4 linked regions of the Oryzias latipes genome follow. The protein of the gene in region 2 binds, or shares a complex with, the protein of the main gene of each other region. Links are inferred from orthologs where the notes say so. Each region holds a gene or a part of one and is shown on either strand. Other genes may lie near its edges. The genes, in order: wrap53, tert, nhp2 and gar1.

Region 1 (3,565 bases), on a different chromosome or scaffold from region 2:
CACCTTCCCGGGCTCCCTCAGATCCCAGCAGAGGATCTCTGGATCCTGGTGGCACAAGGACGCAGAATCCAATCACAGCTTTAGTACGTTTGTTCTTAAGTGTTAGGGCCACACACACACAAAAAAAAGAAGCAAAATTACGAGATTTAAAGTCTTAAATTTACAGGAAAGAAAACTTGTAAAATTGAGATTTAAAGTTGTAAATTTGTAAGTAAAAAAAAAAAAATCGTAAAATTACGAGATTCAAAGACATAGATTTAAAAGAAAACACTAGTAAATTAGGAGATTTAAAGTAGTAAAATTACGAGAGAAAAAACGTGAATTTCTGAGATTTAAAGTCTTAAATTTACGGGGGGAAAAAACTCGTAAAATTATGAGATTCTAAGTCGTAAATTTGCAAATAAAATAAAAAAATCGTGAAATTACGAGATTTAAAGTCGTAGATTTAAAAGAAAACATTAACAAAATCACGAGATATAAAAGTAGTAAATTTACGAGAATTTTTTTTTTTTAGAAATTTCCGAAATTTAAGGTCTTAAATTTACGGGAAAAGAACTCATAAAATTACGAGATTCAAAGTAGTAAATTTAAGAGAAAAAACATGTTAAATTTACGAGATTCAATGTGTTAAATTTACGGAAAAAAATATATGACTTTTTTCATGTAAATTTATGAAATTAAAATTGAGCATGTTTCAATTGTATGCTCGAATTGAGCATACAGAGCAGCAGCAGAGCGGACAGACTCAACCGACACAACAGGTGAGCTGAATGTTCATTGATAACATTACAATTTTTTTTGATTTACAATTTATCAATGTTTTATTCATTGATGGGTGTCCCTGCAGGCAGATGTCCACTTCAATCCGTTCTACTTCCATAAAAACCAACACCTCTAAGTCTTTGTGACACTTCCGTCTGAGGAGGAGGAACACTTTCTGGCATTTTCAACGTTGTAATGCTAATAGAACAACACATTGGTGTTCTGATGACAGATTCATGAGGTAATGAGACAAATGCACTTCAGGGTGTGTGAATGGAAGAGAAAATAAAGTATTGGTCCTCTACACCCAAACGTGTCTCTTGAGTTCCTTATTTTACACATGAAACTCCGACACTGAACCTCGGAAAGGCGACTACACTGACAATAATCTCATTCTGAGTCGCCAAGAGGTTCAGAATATCTGTGTTTTTGAAACCTATCCAGAAATAAAACCTCACAGAACGCTCCACATATTTCATCTTCCAGCAAGGCTCCAATAAACAGGCACCTTTGAGGTTTTTTCTTGTTTAACTTTTGACTTTTTTCTTGTTAATTTACGCGTTTTAAAGTCGTAAATGTACAGCTCAGCTGAACAGGTGAGCTACAGCCAATAAGACACACACGCCTCCTCTGACTCTCCAGCTCCACAAACACCACAAAGGAAACCAGGGAGAAGCGTGAAAATGTTGACCTTGCGCCCCCCGGTGTACAGGTAGTTGCCGTCGGGGGAGAAGAGCAGGTGGGTGATGCCTCCGTGGTGCAGCGTGGGCAGCAGAGCCAGCAGGGCGCCGTCCTGACAGGAGTACAGGCCGGCGCAGCGCGAGTACGAGCCGCAGGCGTAGACCGACTGGCACGGACTGAAGGCGAAGCAGGAAATGATGCCGTTCTGGCCCCGCCTCTTCACTGCAGCGAGGACAGATCATTAAAAAATAAAATAAAACTTTTTGTCACAAATAGGCTAAAGTTATTTTTCTGCAGACGGAAAAATCTGCAGACGGACGACCAGACGTCGGCTCCGAGAAGCTTTGGTGGCCTCGTCATGAAGCTCCGGTTCCAGCAGTAGGCGCTGTTGGACGGAGAACTTTGGCTTTTCCTGCAGTTTCGCTGTTTTGATCGAATCTCTTCAATTTCTGGGTTGAAAAATGACGAACCGCCTCCTTGAATGCATTTTTTGTTCCTGCTGATTCTTCAGATCAGAGATTCTTTAAATTCAACACGTTGTGGTTTTTTTAACCACAAAAAAAAACCAGGCAGAAGCTATGGTTTCTCATGAATCTGGCATAAAACCTGCAGCAAATCCAGTTATTTCTTCAAACCTGGATCCTCTCGATTCAGCGGACGGATCTTTGCAGAATTAGCAGAATCCCGTCCAGCTTTATTTACTGTCATTAAACCTTCAGTTTCAGCCAAATTCTGCACTGAATTCTACAAAATTGTACTATTCTGCAAGTCAAATTGCTGCTCCACTTTAATGGGTTTGAATTTACCGTATCATTATTTATTTAGTTATTTTTTAATCACTTTTGTCTCAAGCCGATTTTTTCAGGGAACTTCAATGATTTTTTTTTCCTGTTCCCTACGATGAAGCGTCAGAAATCTGCACATTGGTAGAAATTTTCTGATGAAGGTCTTCATCAGGTGTTGATGGAATAAAAACAGATGTTTGCTATAAATCTCACCGCATCAAAGTCATACTTCGATCTATTGTGAAAAGGGTTCCCTGTGTTTTTTTTTTAAATTACAATTTGAACGTTTCTTGGCCTGAAACCGGCGTTGTGTTCTAGGACATAGTTTCTGCAGAGCGGCTGAAGTTCACTAGAAATTCACGCAGTCCTTATTCACGACAATTTCAATAAAGAAACGCTCAGAAATGCAGAATTTGAGCTCAGATTTCTTTACTTGAGAAAAATGCGACAAGATGGTAAAAATTAAGCCTGCACAATAAATCTAACGTTATCGCGACATCAAGATGTGCAAAACTCGGTGAAAATTGCGATAAATGCTAACCTAATGCGTTGAATGCTATAAGGTATTCAACCCCTTGTTTTCCTGTATCTCTCTCTTTATTATAGTGCCTTAACTCCTCCTCCAATGCCACAGCTGGGTCTCAAACCTGCGAGCTTCTGCACCAAAAATTCCCCATTTATTTCAATGGAGGCAGAAATCCTGGAATATCTTGAAAGGTTCAGGGATTCAGCGGTTCGCGCTCTTTCCTCACAGCAAGACACCACCCCGGTTCAAGTCCCGGCTGGGGGACCTGAACCAGAACATCAACGGGGGGCCTTTCTGTGTGGAGTTTGCATGTTCTCCCCGTGCATGGGTGGGTTTTCTCAGACATACTCGTCTACATAGGAGGCGGACATCTAACATCAAAGGGCTCCATCCGATTGGTCAAACGCATGAAGGGATTTATTTGATGCGTTAAATACTTTAAGTTGCCATGAGATTGTTTTAGCACATTTAAGGTAGCCATTTAACGCAATTTTCGCAGACTTTTGCGATGTGCGCTTCCTCCGCTGGTCGGTGAAGGCTTGGCGGCTGTTGCCATGACAACGCGTCTTCTTCTAAATGTCCGCTAACACTGACTAACTTTGCACGTGAGCACGGTACGAGCGGGATGGCGTTAGGGTCGGGCGATGTCCCCTAAATTGGCCGTTGACGATGATTGCTGTCAACCATCGGGATGGACGATGACATCGTCGGGGGGGGGGGCTGTTTTTTACATTTTTCGTTCTTGTATAACTGCTATTCGTTATTTTATTTTTTTTATTTTATTTCCCAACCAATGACTAATCTGTGATGA
Region 2 (3,565 bases):
CTGAGAAAAACAATCCTGCTGGTTTCAATGCTAAACCTCAAACATCAGGGTTTTTTATTTCACTTGGCTGCACTTTGTTTGTGTACTTGTGACAGTAAAAGAAATCCCTGGAGGCTGATGACGTTTCCGTGCACATATTTACAGACAAGTTATTTTTAAAGCCTAACCATATCTTCTTTGTGGAAAACTACCGCAGCGAGTGAATCAAAGTCCAGAGATACAGGCGTCTGAGGAATGAGCCAGGCTCCATGTCAGAAGCTGGATTCTTCTCAAGTTTTTCATTCATCAACTTGAGCTTGTTTTACGACACCGGTTTATCACCGGGTTTTATCGCTTAAGTGGTTTTTAAGAGATGACCAAAACATATTTACTGTGCTTTACAGAACACGTAAGATTCCATTTGCTCGTTTAAACAAAAGCCTTGAATGTTCATCATGTCAATCTGAGAGAAAAATTACAACGTTTTGCTTCCATTTTCTTTTCTTTTAATCACTTTAACAAAATAAATCCTCATGTGAAAGCCATGCTGTCAAACTGCCCACACATTTCCGTTCCTGTGGCTGCTTTTACCTGTGGACTCACATCTGCATAGCCAGGAAGTCCAGCAGAGCCCGGGGGTTGGCGGCCTGCCGGACCCTAGCCAGCCTCAGGTCTCCCAGAAGCCTCTCCAACCGGCGCTTCCCTGTCCAGAGGGTGAAAGCAGATATTGAGATATTACAGTTCATCTCCGAACTGTAAAATCCACCCATCTGAGCTGTAAAATCCCATAACAGCTGGTTATAAAACTGCTAAATACACCTGAAAACATTCAGATTGGCCAGCGTGGATACAGCCATCACAGCATCCACCTTTAAGAGAAGATGTATTCCAGGAAAGTTCCTGTGTTTTCATGTTTGGTCTTTCTGTAACAGCCGTGCTGCAGTTCTGACCATAAAAACCCAACGCCAGAGTTCATGCTCGACTGCATCACGGATATTCCTGTACGCCTCTCAGCTGATGCCACCTTCAGGCAAAACCCAGCCTCATCCAGGAGATTTCAGATTCTCCATCAGCTCAGCAAACCTCTCTGTCTCCTGAGGACAGATGTTTTATGAAGAAACAAGTTCAGTAAACAGAGTCCTGATCCATTCTCAGCGAGCAGCTTTGTCATGATATTCATCAATAGTGCCAAAGCTTCTAAACCCACATTCAGAGAAAAGAAATGTTCTAAAAGAATCCTCCTGAATTCAAACACGGGATTGAATAAAGAACTCAAAGATCCCCTCTAATCGTCTCTTCATCTATTGTTAAAGCGTTCCCAGTGGTCTTTAAATCGTGATTGTCATTTTTGGACAAAATTTTTTAAAAGCCGAGTCATTTTCTAGGACATAGTTTCTGCAGAGCAGCAGCAGTTCTTTAGAAATTCACCCACCTCTGAGTTGTGCACAGAGCAAGCCCACCCCCTTCCTCTCCCATTGCTGAGAGCTCTTTGTTTACACGCTCACCTGCTGGCTTACAGCCTCTCTCACCCCCAACCTAACATTAGCAGGGCACCAAACGTGTTAAGCAGTATCAGATCTATCCAGTCGTACAGTTTAGATCCAGATCAGCTCAGACCAGGAAAACAAAGACAAACATGGATCTGTTGGTCTGACAGAGGATGATCAGAATGGAGCAGAGCAGGAAGCTTGAGGCTGCCCAGCGTATTTTCTTCTTCACAAATATGGTCTTTTTTAAACGACATTTTTTATCTGCTCCTGGTTTAATGCAATCTGAATAAAGAAATACTCAGAACTACATTTTTGACCTTCATCTTCTTAACATATGTCCTCCATCATCAGAAAAACGGTTCAAGAGCAGTGAAAGCCTTTGGCTGATCAAACCTTTGAAAGGTCAAAATGATCTGCTAAAATTCTCAAAACGCTGCCAAGTTTTGTCTTCTGCATATTCAGCTGATGATTTGAAGTGTTAAAAGTCTTAGAATATTTCGTTCAGGTGTTGAGTGACTTTCATTTTTATACTTAGTGCTTGGTGGAACACCCACATTTGTGCAGGCGTGGCAGCAGGTCTTTGTAGACGGGTCGGTGTTTAGACAGAACCCGCAGGAAGGCCAGACAGAAGAGCAGCTCCACGGCCTCGTACTGAACGCTGCCCTTCTGAGCTCCATCCCCCAAAACCAACCCTGGAGGAGAGAGGGGAAGCTGAGCACACAACCTGGCAGAGGAGACAGGGCTCCAACCTTCTGTTCGGGGTTTCTCTGAGCCATAAAAGACAAAAACACTAAACTGATCCACATCTTAATAGGTGAAGCTGTGATGCAACACTGACGTTCTGGTTTGCAGTCACACTTATTGTCGAAGCACCAGGAGATCTAAGGATCTTAACGGCTTCTTCTTGGTTCTTCAAACCAAAGGTTTGGTGGTTTGTTCCAGGCTTTTCTGAACCTCCCTGTGATCATAGTCATGGTGGAGAGTCTGGAATCTGACTGACTGCTTGAGTTCAAGTGAGCCTGAGATGAGAAACTCACCTGGATTCACTCATCTTCCTCCGCTCTGCATGGGTTTTTCTAGATTTGCTGTTTCTTGTTTTATTATTCTAACAAACCAACCATTAAAATGACTAACAGACCGTTTCTTTGAGCTGGAAAAGAGAATAAAGTAAAGTACCTGTGTTGCTGCGCCTGATGAGAGCGTTGGCATAGTGCGCCATGTCCCAGATCATCTGCTGGAAGTACGTTGGGTTCTTTGCGACCGTCTGGGCGAAGGGTAAACTCTGAACACAGACATGGAACCTGGACAGAGCGGACACAGAGGAGGCTGCAGGTCTGCAGACCAAAGGCTGAAACACCTGCATGTTCTGAGACGCTAAACACCAAAAGACTTTATTTGAACAAAGGATTGGACTTTGAAAAAGTCTTTAAATGAGCAAAAGAGAGACATAAACAGTTTTAAAGTCCGATCCCATCTATTTTCAGAGCGTTCCCAGTGGTCTTTTAGTTAGGATGACGCCACTTTTAGCCAAAATCAAACATTTCTGTTGTTTTCTAGGACATAGTTTCTGCAGAGCAGCAGGAATTCAGTAGAAATTCACCTCTGATTTGTGGACGGGACCGTTGGCATAAAGCAACCACACCCTCCCTTCCCCTCCCCTCCCCTCCCTGCTGCTGAGAGCTCTCTGTTTTCACACTGCTACCTTCCAGCACATCAAAATTCCAACCTAACATTACTGTGAAACAAAAATGGTGATCAACATCGTAGCTATCCAGCCATTCAATTCTGATCCAGATACCAGCTCAGACCAGGAAAACAAAGACGTTCATGGATCCGTTTGTCTGATGGTGGACGATCAGAATGGAGAAGGAAGACTTTGGACCACCGATTGTAGATTACTAGAACTTATTTTGTTACAACTAGAAGCTGTTTCAAAGGCATTTTTCATCTGCTCCTTATTCACAATGATTTGAATAAAGAAATACTGACAAGTGCAATTTTGAGCTTAATCTACTCTATATACACTATTTTACCAAAAGTATTGGCTCATCCATCCAAATGATCAGGTGTCCTCATCACTTCTTCTGGTCACAGGT
Region 3 (4,237 bases), on a different chromosome or scaffold from region 2:
TACATGCACCACGATCGGATCAACAATCGGCATAACCCACCTATCTTGATCAGAAAGAAATTTTGATCCAAACGAGTCTGATCGGGGCAGAGTATTCCGAACGGCGTGTTTACATGACGCATTTTTCTTCTGATCAGGTGTTCATTCCGATTACTTTTGTCCATGTAAACGCAGCCAATGACCTTAAAGCCCCGCCCCCAAGTAAAATTAGGCACTCTCAGTGAAAACTGAAAGCTAAGGAGGAAAGAAACAGAGGAAACAAACGTTGAAAATGCAAAACAAATAAATATTATTTTTCATTTGGTATCAGTTTAAGGTTTGAAGTTCTTGTTTAAACTTAGGGGTCAAGTTTTTTTAATTTTCATTATTTCTTTTGGCGTTTTCAATGTGTACTTTTGAGTTATTTTTTTTTTTACCTGATCCTAATTTCAATTCAATTCAATTTTATTTGTATAGCCCAAATTCACAACAACAGTCGTCTTGATGGGTTTCATATAATTTGACCCCATAGCGTGTGGCCCATCAATTTCAGTTTGTTTGACAATTGACTGTTAAATTTACAACTGGATAAATGGCGTGTGATATCATCCATAGAAAATGCCTTGCTTCTGGTTGCAACCAACTGAAGTCAATTCAGTCCCCATTTTTCTGCGATATGTCCTTCACCATGTGAGAAGCAGATGACCTCAGTAAGCCGTGATTGGCTTGTCTACATTTCTGTTGCAACCACTCTCTCCAATCAGGAGTGAGCCTGTTAGAAGGCCACACCCCTTTCCACTGAGAGCGGATAGGGAGGGTCTGTCAATCAAACGTTTCAAACTTCTGACGCTACTTTTATTAAGGCATCTGATTTGTCAGTTTATAACTTAGATAACTTTCACTACAGGAAAAATACCATGAGAAAAATCAGGATTAGCAATAAGATTTTAATAAAAGTTATCAGATCCAGAATGGTTATTCTGACCAATAGAATGACAGAGTAACAGCTGTTTATTTCTTAATAGAAGTCTATGGGGTTTTGCCTTCTTAGGACCAGCAGGTACTTCCTTTTTTGGTACACGGAGGGGGTGGGGGGGTGTTTTTCAGTCTAGTTCTTATTTTACTCTCAATGGTAACGACAAGCTTTTTTACACTGTAAGTTTGTCATCTACTCCTGATTCACAGCAATTTGAATAAAGAAATAACAGAAGAAACACACAAAAACACACATTTAATCTTAATTTTCTTTTTATATTTTCACTATCATGAGAAAAACACCACAAGAACTTAAACACAATTTCATTTTTGAAAGAAAGAAGCAAATTAAAGTCATTTGGAATGTAAACTTTGAAACGTCACGCTGCATTTCACCGCCCGGCCGCTAGCGGCGCTGTGATAAGCCGTAGTCTGAAAAAAGAAGCAGAGGAAGCTGAGCACGTGAGGTGTCCTCGTGTTAAGTTGTTGTTAGCAGACGTTCGGCTCAGAAAATCATCGATTGGAAATGACGAAGGTGAAGAAGGAGAAATTGGATGCGGAGGAGCCCGCCGGCGTCCCGGAGCGCTCCTATCACGAACTGATCGCGAACCTGAACCCGATCGCGCAGCCGCTGGCTTCCAGGAAGCTCAGCAAGAAGCTCTACAAGTGCGTGAAGAAAGGTACGAGTGCGGGACGTTTCCAGGTTGTGGATCAGTCCGGGTCCGACTGGGACCGGGTTGGACCAGGACAGTATTGAGCATTTTTGTGGTTTCAGCTGCCAGAGTGAAGAACATCCGCAGAGGAGTGAAGGAGGTGCAGAAGTTCATCAACAAGGGAGAGAAAGGGTGAGTTAGAACGAGCCGGAGCTGCTCAGGAGGAGGAGAAGCATGTTGGTGGATGAAGCTTCTCATAGGATCCTTTGTTTTTCTCTAGAATCCAGATAATTTCCGTTTGTCTCTGTGCTGCTCTTCATTTCTCATTTTATTGTCTGGAGCTACAGTTCTTTAGAACTTTAATGATGAGAAACTTTGCAAAACCTTTCAACCAAGTTCTTTTCTGTTTTAGTTGGGGTTTAGTCAAAGCGACTCAGTGATGTTGGCCAGTTCACAAATATGACTGCGCATGCGCGGGGTCAAAGGTCAAGGCCTCATTGGACGACAAACTTGGTGATGGTCTCTAACCCTAGCCATGATGAAACATATTCAAAGTTAAAATAACAGGACCATCTGCCCGGTCAGTTAACGAACTAAAGGCGCCCGACGATGCACCAGATGTGCTGCGACACAGGTGTGCTGCGACACAGGTGTGCTGCGACACAGGTGTGCTGCGACACAGGTGTGCTGCGACACAGGTGTGCTGCAGAGGCCTCATCCCCACAGCAGACGATGATAAAAAGGACGTATGCATGCGAAGCATTGGACATGATACAACTTGAGGACTGGATAACAGTTGTCTGGTTCAACATTAGGCCCACATGATGCAGTACTCAAACATTCCAGATCTATAATACTAGTAGAAGGCTTAAATATTCCATATGGACTATCTAAAGGCGTACGACATTCTTCTGTTTCTTTGACAGATCAGAATGCCACTTCTCTGCATTGACAGAAAACAATAACCCGATCCTCTTGTGATTGAAAAGGCTCTTGGGTTGGTGAGGAAGCAACTAAAACATGGCTGACAGAAATGTCAATATTGCTCACTCATGTCACTGAACGGTCTGTTCTTACTAGTATTTGCTGCTTTGGTTTTTTTGTTGCTATTTTTTCATTAGCTGACCCACCAACGGCAAACTGCATCTGCCGATGGACCTGTACTTTGTCTTTGGTTATGTATCGTAATGGCTGCGTTTTGGCTTAGCGGTCACCTTGTCTGCTGTCCATTGAGGTCTCGACCTTTGACCCCGCACATGCGCAGTCACCCGTGTGACTCAGTCTTTTGTGTTTAGTCTGAGGGGGCGTGACCAGAAGTGACTTCATTGCTTGCAAGCTGGTTTTCTGATTGGTCGTTGCTCTACAGGATCGTGGTTTTAGCTGGCGACACTCTGCCCATCGAGGTGTACTGCCACCTACCGGTCATGTGTGAGGACAGGAGCCTGCCGTACGCCTACATCCCCTCCAAAGTGGTGAGTCAGCAGCGCACCTATGCAGGTGTTCCTCTCTTTGAGGACTTCAAAAATAGCAGTAATGAAAGTGGATTTGCAGAGGCGATCCATGAAGGGATCTGCTGAAAGGTGAACCACCACCGACAGCAGTAAAGTTATAACTAAACCTCTGGTACGTTGTGTAAAAGTGAGGAAATATTTCAAATTTTATTTGCTTTCTTCAGAGAAACACATTTTTTCAAACGAGACCAGAACATTAAAGGTGGACATACATTCTGTGAAAGAAAGTTCTGGAAGTAAATACTGAGATGATCTCCACTCACAACCAAAAATCAAATAAATATAAATAGCTTCCAATATATTTATACACTAAACTAGAAATTCCTTACATCCAGTGAAGTATATTTGGGTTACAGTAGCAGCATTCTGGTATGGAGATGTCTTTGGTGGGTGGAGTTCTCAAAAACAAAGCGCTTGAATGTAAAAAGCACAATTTTACAGAATATGGCCTAAACTGTTTAAAATGGATATAAAGTGCCTCTATTGCAAGTTACAGGTACTTAACATTCTCAGCTGTTTCTAACTTTGCTGCTGCTGGGGTGTGTCAGAATTCCTTCACTACTCACTGCATAATGCGTCCACCTTTTTGTAGAGCTGTCTGAATCTACAATTACAAAATCCAGTGCCCTAGAAATTTACCAGAAGTCTCTGTGAAATACCAGTGTGCATCAAGGCTCACTATGTCGGTGAATATAGACCACAATGCATAGTATCAGAACAATTTTTGCCAAAAGAAAATGTATTTAAATGTATTTTTTTAATTAAACCATCAATGTTTTTATCTTCAGAACTCAGTGGACTCATAAATAATGGTGACAAAACGCTCATATGAATTAGATTTTAACTTTGTGAAATCAATTATGTCATATTCGCCATTTAAAATATTAAGCACTGAGCATTGTGTCTGAATTTTCTTTAAAATCCAGGGCACTAAATAGTTTTAGTAGTTAGGGGTTAGGGTGGGAGTTTGTCATCTTCCACTGACACAAGAGAAGGTGCTGTTCCCTCGACTCTCCTGCAGGAGGCAGTACAGTTCACCTCATAAAGGTGTGATGTCACCATCAGGTCTTTAGTTTTAGCTAACCTCAGTTATAATGAGAACTATTTCCAGAGAGTCCA
Region 4 (4,181 bases), on a different chromosome or scaffold from region 2:
TCGCCCAACCCTATGTCTGACTGAGCACAGCTCGGATCGTCAGCACACACAGCGGTTTGAGCTTCAAAGCAGAAATGTCGCTCAGTCCTTAGAAAACATTCAAACAATCACGCGGATTTGTGTTTCCAGTCGTGTCCCGACTAAATAAAGGCTGATGTTATTCTTACATGTTTACGTGCAGCCAGCAAGCAGCACCACCCAAAGCTAATGTTGTTAGCCCGTGTTAGCATACTGCTAATCCTGGCTTCGTTCAGAAAAAGCACTGACCACACGGATTAAAATTCAAATGATGAGCGAACAGGTGTTTCATAATAACCGTAACATTATTAAAGGCACGTTTAGAAGATTGGCTCGTAAATTACTGAGCTGACATGTCAATGTATAAAGCCGCTCGGCGCTGTTTAACATTGTTTTGTATTGAATTGTTACATTCAATAAAGTTTGGAAAAAAAAGCCGCTCGGCGGAAGTTGTATCCCCTTCCGGTTTTCAAACTGCGCATGTGCGAATGATTTATTCCGACCGAAAGTGTGACCTTAGTGAACGTTTTTATATTCTGAAAACATTTTTCTGGGCCCATCTACACGGTTGGATTCTAATCCGACCATTGATCCCATCAAGATATTTTGTACATGTAACCGCGGCTTATGGTGTCGACGCGCAACGTGGCGGGGGCGTGGCATCACGATGGTGGTCTCTCCATCGGGATGTCAGTCACCCATCACGATGGACGATGATATCGTCCATCGGCACAACCCTACCCCTAAGTGAGTTACAGCTGCTCATTTCTCTGTAGAAGTCTATGGAAATTTGGCTTCTTGGAGACAGCGGGAACTTCCTGTTTGGAACTCTACGGGAGAGGAGTCACTCAGTCCAGTTCTCATATACAGTCAACTGTCTAAACAGAGGGAATTGTAAGGAACTGGGTTGAAAAATATGAAGGGTGTCAGTTGGTCTGGACTGAGTCTGCTTAGTTTGGTCCAGATTGAGTCCTGAGCGTTGCATTGGGTCTGTAGTCAGACTGCCTTCAACCGGACATTTCTGTTTCCAACCAACCAAAGCTTGTAAAAAAAAAAACGTGTGACTAAAGATCTCTTCAGTCATTGGCCAGGAATTACGAGGGCAGTCAAAGACTAGTGCACTTTGCAATCCCATTGGTCCAGTGGAGGCTGGCTGTAGGGCGGCTAACGGCAAGAGTCACTGATAAGACTTTATGACATGCAGATGGTCGGGAAAACAGTGAGAAGCAACGTGCGTCACATTAAAAGTTGTTTTAATGAGCCTGCATTTATCCAATCACATTTCAATGAGTTGCTGTGTCTCATCGTCATGGTTACTTCCTTTTCCGTTTACATCCCATACGGAGCGGCTACGGTGGCCATTTTTGGTTCCGTTGTTCCACTCTGGGAACAGACTGTATTCAGACTGAAGAACCTTAGAGTACACCAAAGCTCAGTCCGATTGGAAACGAACTGAGAGACCACCTCCACAGATGGAACCAAGCGGTTCCTGGTCCCGCACCAGGGCCCACTTGGGTTTATTCAGACTGAAAATTTGTTCCAGATTGTCGGGGGAAACGAACTTCTGGTTCACTTTAAGAGAACCAACTGTGTGGAGTCTGAATCCACCCATAGACTGATACTATGGGGTAAGGAATGTGTCAAAAAGAAACGCATTTATGAAGACAAAGTTGTGCGGCTGGTTAGAATCTGGACCAATCAGCAGGCTGTTTGTTGGCACATATGTCACGCTAAACTGAGACTTATGAACGTTAAATCAAAGATAGGGAAACAGCGAAATGAGACGTGTTAAAACGCAAAATTTTTTTTTGAAAGCAGAAAAAAATTTAAGAACTATTTAAGCAACTATTTAATACCTTCACTTGCTACTTAAAAAGTTTTGTTTGCAATGTGTTGGCATAAATATCACTTCATTCTCAAAAAATACGGCAGGACATCGCCATTATAATCTGTTTTTTTTAAACAAAACTATGATAAAGATAATTTCCCTTCTAGAAGATCAATAACATTTCAGAAAGTTTAATTCTGTTTTTAGTTTAATAAACGAGGCTCAACGCGCATGCTCACTCAGTTGAATTGAATATCGGGACTCTGTGTATATGCCAATGACCACATGGCGTATATTTGATACTTTTTTAAAGAAAAAAACAACAACACAATGAACAAAGAAAACACCAAAAGCTGAACTGACAAACGCACCAAAACCATGAGCTCCCATGATGCACCTCGCCCGCTGATTGCTATGGCAGTGGGCGGAAACCGAGTCGTTACAGTAAGAATGCAAACAAATGTTTTACTCCTTACAGTCTTACAAAATAGAGCACACAGATAGCCGCCCGCCGCTTTACAACCGCGGAGTGATCCCGTCAACGAATCCAGTCTTCAGCCGCGTGCGACCGTCCCGTCCCGTGTCCGCTGTGCAAATAGTGCGAGTGTTTAGCTGGCAAACACAGCGACACGACAGGTTGCAGTAACCAGAAACACGCGTGGAACCGTGTCCGGAACTTTAACGCGCCCTGAGGCTCCCCCGGTGCCTCACGCGCTAAAAAAACCGGCTTCGGTGAAAGGATCAGCGAGAGCACGTGCTTCCCGGAGCAGCTCACCGTAAACACGACCGTTTAGGCGCGAAACCACCGCTTTCCAGTGGGTTCTTTACACACCCCGCTCATCTGCTGATAAATAATATGACACGTGGAAAACTATTACCCAAGAAAATAAGATGTAAAGGCAAGAACTTACCTGTTATCGCAGAGGAAATGTCCACGTGACAACACGCGCAAGCGCAGGCTGCCGTAAAGGTTGTCTCTGATGTCGCACAGGAGGTTGCCAGATCAGATCATTTCCCGACAAAACTACGCAGTAAAATCAGTAAAGGCAAACACAACCCGGACTAAACTTCCCCCCACATAAAAAAGCTAAACTAAGACTTTTTAATGGTAATTTACAAAATCAAGATAGATTTATTTTATAAAAATATATAAATCAATAAACTATTAGTTGTCGTCTCCTTTTGAGTGATTTGTTGTTTTTATCAGTCTCTTTTTAATCTTTTGCATTTTCTGTGTGTATTTTCTACACAATTGTTCGTGCGGTTCCTAGTAACTTGAGCTGTATTCATAACTTTTTTTGTGGTATTTGCATCATTTGTTATTTAAAAACACTTAAAAAATTATATTAACAAGAAACTTAGCAAATGCAATAGGAAACCTCTGCTGCTGAGTTACACTACGATTTTCCTCTGACTGCACAACCATGACCAGAAATCCAACTTGCATCTGGATCAGACTTCAGCATGTCATTTTCAGGTGTTTGACTGCTTTAAGGTCTGTCACTGCTTCTTTTCATTTGTGAAGTAGGACTAAACTCAGTTTAATCTTTAAAGTAGAATAATATTGGTTATATTGTGTGGGCTATGTGTGAAAACAAAGATTTCAAACTTGTATATCAGTAATTTTTTTCACAATAAGCCTCACAATAGCTAAAGACTGAAATCAACCCCATGTTCCTTTTGACCTTTAGTTGACTGTAAATGTAAATCAGCACAATAATTTGTGGTTATTTTTTTTTACCTTATTCCATAATTTTACACCTCCAGTTCAATATGTTCAATTTTTTTTTGTTTTAGGTGTTAATTGTTTCTGTAATATTGATAGTTATTTGGATGAATACTTTTTTATGTGTGAATAATATTTTAAAGTAATTCTAAAGTAATTTACTACAGCTCTTTCTAGTGACATCTGGTTAACCAACAAAACTCTTTAAGCATAATTTCTAGAAAAACATTTTTTTAAATTTAAAACAAAACATCAGTTTTGAGAAAAACAGCCTGAATTTGTTCATTTTGCCAACTGCAGATGTGTCCAGCCCAAAGAGTTCCAAAGAAGCGGAAACATGACCGATCTGGCAACCCTTGTCTTCTTTGTGTCATAAGCCGACCTGCCCCGTCCTTAAAGAGACAGACCACTCTGACTTCATCAAAAGTTTCGCCAGACAGACGCTGCTCCAATAGTGGAGATGTTTAAGTGTTTGTTGGCTTTTTAAAATTCTGCTGCGCGGGTAACTATGGCAACAGCTGGTCAGGGAGGAATGCTTTTGTTTTCCGAGAGTGTGTGTGTGAGAGAGAGAGAGGAAAGAGTGTGTGATTGTGTTTGTAACCAGTCGTT

The links.
Region 1: tert (region 2) and wrap53 share a complex: the UniProt entries of both Homo sapiens proteins name them as parts of the telomerase holoenzyme complex. The link is inferred for Oryzias latipes from reciprocal best matches to the Homo sapiens genes TERT and WRAP53.
Region 3: tert (region 2) and nhp2 share a complex: the UniProt entries of both Homo sapiens proteins name them as parts of the telomerase holoenzyme complex. The link is inferred for Oryzias latipes from reciprocal best matches to the Homo sapiens genes TERT and NHP2.
Region 4: tert (region 2) and gar1 share a complex: the UniProt entries of both Homo sapiens proteins name them as parts of the telomerase holoenzyme complex. The link is inferred for Oryzias latipes from reciprocal best matches to the Homo sapiens genes TERT and GAR1.

Annotation. Positions count from the first base shown.
Region 1 is NC_019876.2:6,280,693-6,284,257, reverse strand, and holds part of wrap53 (telomerase Cajal body protein 1), read right to left. Parts: intron 1,666-3,565; coding exon 1,454-1,665; intron 46-1,453; coding exon 1-45. UniProt on the Homo sapiens protein: RNA chaperone that plays a key role in telomere maintenance and RNA localization to Cajal bodies. Specifically recognizes and binds the Cajal body box (CAB box) present in both small Cajal body RNAs (scaRNAs) and telomerase RNA template component (TERC).
Region 2 is NC_019869.2:25,694,981-25,698,545, forward strand, and holds part of tert (telomerase reverse transcriptase), read right to left. Parts: intron 2,771-3,565; coding exon 2,646-2,770; intron 2,162-2,645; coding exon 2,024-2,161; intron 683-2,023; coding exon 579-682; 3' UTR 571-578; exon of another isoform or gene 1-570. UniProt on the Homo sapiens protein: Telomerase is a ribonucleoprotein enzyme essential for the replication of chromosome termini in most eukaryotes. Active in progenitor and cancer cells. Inactive, or very low activity, in normal somatic cells.
Region 3 is NC_019872.2:3,233,475-3,237,711, reverse strand, and holds the start of nhp2 (H/ACA ribonucleoprotein complex subunit 2), read left to right. Parts: upstream 1-1,376; 5' UTR 1,377-1,480; coding exon 1,481-1,634; intron 1,635-1,729; coding exon 1,730-1,799; intron 1,800-2,973; coding exon 2,974-3,079; intron 3,080-4,237. UniProt on the Homo sapiens protein: Required for ribosome biogenesis and telomere maintenance. Part of the H/ACA small nucleolar ribonucleoprotein (H/ACA snoRNP) complex, which catalyzes pseudouridylation of rRNA.
Region 4 is NC_019868.2:3,863,709-3,867,889, forward strand, and holds the start of gar1 (H/ACA ribonucleoprotein complex subunit 1), read right to left. Parts: upstream 2,846-4,181; 5' UTR 2,758-2,845; intron 2,639-2,757; exon of another isoform or gene 2,622-2,638; intron 1-2,621. UniProt on the Homo sapiens protein: Required for ribosome biogenesis and telomere maintenance. Part of the H/ACA small nucleolar ribonucleoprotein (H/ACA snoRNP) complex, which catalyzes pseudouridylation of rRNA.